Tamandua tetradactyla: one gene and its partner. The protein of the gene in region 1 binds, or shares a complex with, the protein of each later gene. Links are inferred from orthologs where the notes say so. Each region holds a gene or a part of one and is shown in the gene's direction. Other genes may lie near its edges.

The links.
Region 2: the proteins of SLF2 (region 1) and SIMC1 are in contact, whole or in part, in a cryo-EM structure (PDB 7T5P), measured with the Homo sapiens proteins. The link is inferred for Tamandua tetradactyla from reciprocal best matches to the Homo sapiens genes SLF2 and SIMC1. Residues at the interface, in NP_060591.3 of Homo sapiens: His738, Val772, Leu775, Lys778, Asp783, Phe786, Gln790, Gly791, Phe792, Thr794, Ser795, Ala796, Tyr797, His798, Tyr799, Cys820, Ile821, Gln825, Ser828, Met831, Glu832, Ile835, Arg836, Asp838, Thr839, Ser841, Asp842, Ser843, Pro847, Lys919; in NP_001295125.1 of Homo sapiens: Tyr426, Arg428, Leu431, Lys435, Leu438, Pro440, Val442, His443, His444, Leu445, Phe447, Gln448, Arg470, Arg471, Phe490, Asp493, Pro497, Val521, Asp522, Lys525, Glu526, Tyr528, Met529, Met532, Lys533, Gln536, Leu537, Arg571, Asn658, Gln661.

What each region holds. Positions count from the first base shown.
Region 1 is NC_135339.1:62,477,293-62,481,038, forward strand, and holds the start of SLF2 (SMC5-SMC6 complex localization factor protein 2), read left to right. Parts: upstream 1-1,313; 5' UTR 1,314-1,493; coding exon 1,494-1,633; intron 1,634-3,746. UniProt on the Homo sapiens protein: Plays a role in the DNA damage response (DDR) pathway by regulating postreplication repair of UV-damaged DNA and genomic stability maintenance.
Region 2 is NC_135346.1:57,621,362-57,625,107, forward strand, and holds the start of SIMC1 (SUMO-interacting motif-containing protein 1), read left to right. Parts: upstream 1-1,194; 5' UTR 1,195-1,332; coding exon 1,333-1,461; intron 1,462-3,746.

The sequences.
Region 1 (3,746 bases):
TCCACTTGGTCAGCCTCTTGGTCACTTTACTACTCATTAGTTCTGCCTCCTGAGAGCTTATGGGGAAGGGAAAGAGGTGAATTTCAGGTCAGTCAGGCATGCCTAGCTACAAACGCAGTTAAATCTCAGAGCAATAAACTTTAAGGACCTGTCCAAATGCTTTTGAGTCATTTAAGATTTCATACCATCCAAATGATTGAACAAGCCTGTCAACTAGAGCTCGGGTATCCTTGAGATTGATATTCTAGTTGTAATAACTATTATAACAATATTTGACCTGTCTCTGAAAGTTTTTGTAGGAAGTTAAACTCAGTGTAAGAGCCTGTCTAGAAACCAAACGAAGGGGAACTATAATTTCATGAGTATCCATTACATGAGAAATTCGAATGAGCAGTTCACATCCCTTATCTCTTTTTATGGCTTACAATTACCCAGACAAGTGAGTATTAAACCCATTTTATTATAGATATGGAAACTGAGGCTGCGAAATAATCTTAGCAATCTCTTAGCTAGTAAGGAAAACCTTAGCTAGCAGCCTCCAAAGCACAAGCCCTTTACAAAGGAGGATCGGAGACTTGGCAGCTTTTGCTAATAAATGCTGTCTACACATAACCTGAATAAGTGAAGAGTGACATCATGTTCTTTTCAAAGACCCCAAGGAAGACGGCTGTAAAGACTTCATGGATAACTCATTTCAGCAGCCGAAACTCAAAATGTTTTTGTGGAATACTGTCTTTTTTTTTCAATGATTTTCCCCCCTTCTTAATAAGAGAGGGGGGTAAGGGACGTATCGTATCACAAACACTTAACAAGTACGCTCTCAGAATGGGCAAGTCTTCAGATTGGACTGCACACTACGAAGGAAAGGCTGACAGCATTAGGGCACCCTGGCCTAAAATGCTAAAGAGGCGAGATAATGAACAGTTGGGGGTTTCTAATGCACAATTGTGTGGCACAGGAAGACCAACTGTTGGCCATCTTTCACAGACGACAGCTGCCCGGCTCGGGTTTGCCTCTGCAATCCTCGCCCTCCGCCCTCCACCAGGCGGGTGTCGCCGGCTGCTGCAGAGCCCGCGGCCACCCGAGCCTCCCCACCCCGGCTCACAGCTGAAGCCGACGCGGCCCAAACGCTGCCCCGCGCGCCCCCATGCACGTGACGGGATGGGAAGGGGCAGTTTTCCTCCTCCCCTCCTCCTTCCAGAAACTCCGCCTTCCCCTGAAAGATGCGGCTTTCTTTTGCGCCACTACCGGAATGGCTGCCGTGCCAGCCAATGAAGATGCGACGCCTGGAGTAAGACCCGCCCATCTTGGTCTTCAGGTTCCTTCCCGCTCACACGCGAGTCACTTCCGAAGAGAGAGACCCGCCATGAAGAGAGAAGGGGGTGCCGCCCACCTCTGCTCCGACAGCCTCCCCAAGATCCAGCAGCAAGACGGCAGCCACGCATCCAACTTCTCCAGCCACAGCTCATGCCGCCGTCGCCTGCGGCGCCGACATGACAAGGCGCTGCATGCTCGCTAGGCCAGGTTTCCCCTCATCCCCAGCCCCGGGGTCGTCGCCCCCGCGCTGCCATCTGAGACCCGGTAGTACCGTCTCTGCTGCAGCGGGAAAGAGAACAGAGAGACCTGGGGACAGGTACCGTGCAGAGGGCATGAGAAGGGGCCGGGTCGCGGGGACAAGGGTTTGAGGGGAGGACAGCGGCCGACCACTTTTCCAGTTCCCGCCATCCTCCGCGATCTCAGGCCTCGGCATTTCGGAGCCTGGCAAAAAACCCCGCCCCGCCTCCGCGCGGGGGTTTCTGGGAGTGCGAGTTTCTTTTTCTGTAGTTGGGAAGCAGTTCTTGGTCTAGTGGTTATAAGCCTGCGTGGCTACGGGGAATCCGCCTTAGGTAGAATGTGATTTTTATCCTTTAAGATAGCTTGGCCCGAGGCCCTACCCGCTTAATACATTATTTACTTGTTTTTTCTACATTGTAAGTTCCTGATCCCTGTGGTTTAACACTATAAACCTTTTCTGTAGTGTGGGTGAAGTTATGTAAGATGTAATGAGGGTAATCTGTCCATGAATTACGTTATAGTCCAGTATACACGGTAAATCATACTTAAAAGAACATGCAGGTTTGGAATGTGATGTGTTTTCTTTTTCAGTAACTTTACACCTCCCCAGAGGCCAATTTTTTTGTGAAGATTTCCTAGACCAACTTTCTGAGAGCTATGGAGAGTTTTATCAAATGACTTCCTAAATAAAACATGTTTAAATTCTATACGCACTTGGTACTGTCTTTTTTATTTTAAGCTTAAAAATCTCATAGCAGAAGTTTAACAGAATTATGTTCTAATATCGCAGTACAGGTCCATAATCCCTTATCTTAATTCGGAAGCTAAAAAACTATGAAAACCAAAGCTTTTCAGTAGATTTAGCACCAAATCTCATTGAGCAGCCAAACTTGACCAGAGCTAATATATAGCCGTTTATGGTCTCTATCAAGTGTGAATAGTCATAAGTTTTGCTGGAGAAATACTAATGTTTGATTGTGGGGTACAGCCCCACACCCTATTGGGGGCTTTACATAATACATCCAAAGTAAGCCCTTTGTAAAATGTGATAAATTCAGAATTCTAAAACATATTTGGTCCCAAAAGTTTCGATAAGGGTTTTTGAAGCTATTGTGAATGTTGGCTATTTGTGTTTTTAAGAATTAGTTATAAGTAATTAGTGGGCATTTCTGTGCATATGAAGTTAGGAAACTATTCCTTCTTGAAAGTTACATTCATGGTTATTTTACAGAATTTCTTGTATGTGTCACCCAAAACTCTGTAATCCTTCAAAAAGGAACTGAAATCCACTATTTTGGAAAAAGTTATTTAAAATTAATATAAAAACCTTCACCATTATCTTGCTTTGAATTAACTGCTTCGCTGACCTTTCCCATCTCTTTTTCTTCAACCAGTAACCAAAGGCTCATCCTTCACCCCTCTGCAGGCCTCTAGCATTTCTTCCTTTACTCTCTAGTAGAGTTCATTTGCCTGATATAATTTTTTTTTTTTATTTATTTTTTTGCATGGGTAGGTACCGGGAATCAAACCCGGGTCTCCGGCATGGCAGGCAAGAAGTCTGCCTGCTGAGCCACTGTGGCTCGCCCCCAATATAATTTATTTTTTGTGAGCAAATGCACAGATTCTTCCTTAGCCTGACATTCATATTCATTTCATAACCACTTAGCATTTCTACAAACATTTTGGATTCTTAGTTAACCATTACCCTTCTAATGTGGACTTCTGCATTCTTCTAATGTAGAAGCTAAACCCTCAAGGGACTTGGACTTTTACGTTTTTCCTGCACATTCCAATTTCATACTGGATGAATGTTTAGGGAATCCTCTAGTCTACTGCTTATCTTCTTTCAGGTAAAATTAGCACGAGCATAATTTACCAGGAAGTTAATTTTTTTTTTGCTTTGCATATAATAACATTTCCTTTTGTGACACAAATCAGAATACAAATTCTGATAATATGGTCTTTTCTTGCTTTGTGCCCACTTTAGGGTATGGAAATCCTTAAAGATTAAAGCAATTTGGTTTTTATTACCCTTTACTTACTAGTTAACTTCCTTCTCTCTGTTATATTTATGTTTTTCCAAGGTAATATGTTATTTTTGTAACTATCTTTAGGATATTTAAGAATATTTCTAATTAAGAATTTGACAGTAAGAAATTAAATATCCCTAAGAAATTAAGAATTTGAAACAT
Region 2 (3,746 bases), on another chromosome or scaffold:
TGTGTCTGATGCTCCTTTTATCTACCTTATCAACAGACAAGTTAAACATAGGGAATAAAAATAAATAATAGGGGGAACTAATGTTAAAAGAAATTTAGATTGAAATGCTAGTGATTAATGAAAGGGAGGGATAACGGGTATGGTATGTATGAATTTTTTTCTGTTGTCCTTCTTTTTCTGAATTGATGCAAATGTTCTAAGAAATGATCATGATGATGAATATGCAACTATGTGATGATATTGTGAATTACTGGTTATATATGTAGAACGGAATGATCATAAGTTAAAAAAAAAAAAACAGAAGAAGAATAACACCCAGGTAACCTTGACCCAGTAGTTCCACTTCTAAGAATTTACCCACAGATCTACTTGCACAATGTGCAGAAAGAAGGGTGGCCTCTCTCCCCCTGGTCCGTCACAGGCTGGGTCCTCCACCCTCAGTCAGTTGGAGCATCCTGTACTCATGTGGAATATTATTCCACATGCTATGACAAGTGAAACCGTGCGAGCTTTATAACCAGCTCGCCCCTCAACCACCGTGCTCTGCTTCTACCTCACTCAGACAGTGTCCTCTCCAGCCCCGGTGAGACAGGCCTGCTGACCTCAGGGGCCGCGGGAGAAACCCACTTGGTCGGCTACAGATTCCCTCTAACATGCGTTTAGCCAGAGTGGCTCACCCCCGAAGGTCAGGCCCCTCTCCACCGCCATTCACAGGCCCAGGCACCCGCCCTTAATTGTTGGTGACCCCTCTATCCCGGAAGTGCGAGGCCAGGTCACCTGCGGGTCCGAGGGGCCGGTTCAGTCCTCGGCGGGGCAGGAGCTACTTCACACCTATCTCAGCTCCCGCTTCTGTCAGTTGGAAACAGTCTCCGCGCCTCGCACGCCCGCGCCCCCAAAACCGGCCCAAGCCGGCTGCAGCTTGGTTTTCTCTTCCTCTTTTCTTCCCTCCTTAGGGGACAGAGGCCGGGCAGGGCCGCCAAGCACGGGGACCGCGGCCGTGACCCCGACCCCGCGGCCCTGACCCCGACCCCGCGGCCCGCCACCTGCGGTCGGTGGGCGGGGCCGGAAGGGGGCGGGGCGCGGGCGGGGCCGGCGGGGGCGGGGCGGGGGCGGGGCCGGCGGGGGCGGGGCGAGGGCGGGGCCGGCGGGGGGCGGAGCGCGGAGACGGGACCGGCGGGGGGCGGAGCGCGGAGACGGGACCGGCGGGGGTGATGGCCCGGGCTGTCGCCACCGCTGCCGCCACCGCCTCAGCAGCAGGAACCGAAGTCGTCGTCGCCGCCGCCGCCTGGATCGCCCGCTGCCCGCGCGCTGGCTCGGTCGGGCCCCGCAGCTATGGAGGAATTTATCGTGATCTCGGACGACAGCGGCTCCGAGAGCCCCGGAGGGGCCCGGTCGAGCCGGGCGCGGAGGCTCCGCCGGGCCCCATCCCGGACCCCCAGCGCGGTGCCCCGGCGGACCGTGGTGAGTGAGCGAGCCGCCGCTAGCCCAGCCCCCCACGGCCGCGGCGCCGCCTCCCCTCGCTCGGGCCGCGCTTCGCCGCCGCCCTCGGCGGGGCCCGCCGCCCCCTGGCGCCTCACAGCTGCAGCCTCTTCCCGCCTTGCGGCTGGCCCGGCCTCTCCTGCCTGACGAGCGTGGCAGAGCCGAGCCGGGGTGCCCGGGCCTCCGGGGGCTCAGCGCTCAACCCCGAGCACATGGACGGTCCCCCGGCGCGTCTGGGGTGGGGGGTGCCAGAGCCCGCAGCCAGCGACGGCCTCAGGCGGGGGCCGCCGGCGCCCCCGAGCCTTGGCGTGGGAAGGGGCCGAGGGTCCTGGCCGGCGGACAGCCCCGACCCGGACCGGGAGGAGGGAAGCGGCAGCGTGTAATTGTTTGGCTTGGGGGTACAGATTTGTGCAGGGACGTAACTGGAGCCGTGCCTGGGAGGGAGGGAAGCGCGGGCCTGGGCCAGATGGTGGCGGCACTCCAGGGCCTGGCTGCTGAGCAAGGGGCCCGATTTTGGAGTCGTGCGGGACGGTGATTTATTTCGCTTAGGAAACGTTTGTCGTGTACCAAGCACCGAGGGGCTAGGGAATAAACATATTGCACTATTTGCAGTTCCCTTAGGCCACCTTCATCTTGGTCTTCTTCCTGGGATTGGGGAATAAAACATCCCAGGTCCCTGCCCTTCCAGAAGACTCCGTAGCTATTTATTGAACCCCTGCTATGGGCCACCCGTCGTTCCAGGGGCTGGGCACGTAATGGAGAACACAACATCCACGGTCCCTAATAGAGTTGTAGATGTGATTATCAAGCACCTACTTAGTGGGGATGGGGGAGGCAGGCTTTCTCTCGGGAGACTCAACAGCAGACCTCCTTCTGATCATCTACCCAGTCCCCCAGAGCCACACCCCAGAAATAAGAATAAAAGAGCTGTCAGGCAGATGTTATTTGTATAGCTCTGGAACATACAGTTTAAGGAAAACAGTGCATTTCCCATGCAGACACTCCTTCAAGACAAATCTCTTAGCTATGCTTTCCCAGTTTCCTTTTCAGCAAGTTTACAGCCCTGAAGCTTCCACTATGAGCCCCTAGAATTTCTGAGGTACAGTACTAAGCACCAGGTGATCACTAGCGAATGAATAACATGCAAGACCAGTTAACCCACCGTGTTATGTTGCCATGGTTCAAGCAAAAGGCGTTCTCAGTAAATCTCAGTTAAAAAAAAAAATTAGTTGAATCCGCCATCTGAGGAGATGGACAGATACAAGGGATTTTCAAGGTAGAAGTGACCCACCTTGGAGGGTGAATGGATATATCCAGTGCTGTGGCAGATGAGAGATTCATAATAAGTATTTGTTAGATGAAAGAATGATTGAAGGATGGGGGGAAGAGAGCAATTCAGATGAGTTTTTGGCAAATAAGAGCTAGTTCAAGAGCAGGCTTGAGGTGGAGAGGATCCTGAATTCTCTTTGGATCTTCTGGATTTTAAGGACTAGTGGGAAATTAGGTGGATGCCACCGGTCAGAAGTCAAACAGTTGGGAATGGAACTCTGCAGGAAAGTTAGGGCTGGAGAGACTTGGCAGTCATCCAAATAGAGATGTTCCCTGAAGGGCTAAGAGGGTTGAGATCATCAAGGAAAAGAGGATATGTAGCGAAAAGGTGGGAGGAAAACCTGTGGAGTAACTCAACTACAGTTCCCTCTAGTTCTCCTCTTTCCCCCTTCTGAGTCCCCCTTTCACTTTGTCCTTCTTCCTACCTGCTTCCTTTTCTCCCTCCCAGATGTCATCCATATTCCCTTATCCTGGTCCGCTTGCTTCTTCAATACACAGATGCCACCCCGTTCCAGTCTCCTGTGGCCCCTCGCACTCATACGTGGGTGCACTCTCTCACTGCTCCCCTCCCCCATGGCTACCCCAACCAAGCATTTTGACCTTGAGCTTTTTGAGTTGAAGAGGGATGAAGGTCAAGTTCCCAACTTAAATTTTGCTTCTCTAGCTCTTTAAAAACTCCAAGCTTTGTTCTCTTTTTTTTCTTTCTTGCCAATTAGGTAAGGGTGGTAGGAAAACTATGTGAAAAATCAGAGGCACAAAGATATTTGCCAAGGTTATAAAGCCTAACGCGCTTTTGTCTAGCTTTCCCTAAAGGTTCTGAGGTCCAAGAGACTTTTTTTCCAAGTGAAATCCCCTAACATAGCAGCTATATGAGCTTTCGCAGATTCTGTCACTTCTCTTAGCTTTTGAGCCTGGCAGGAGTGTTAATAGGGTTTTAA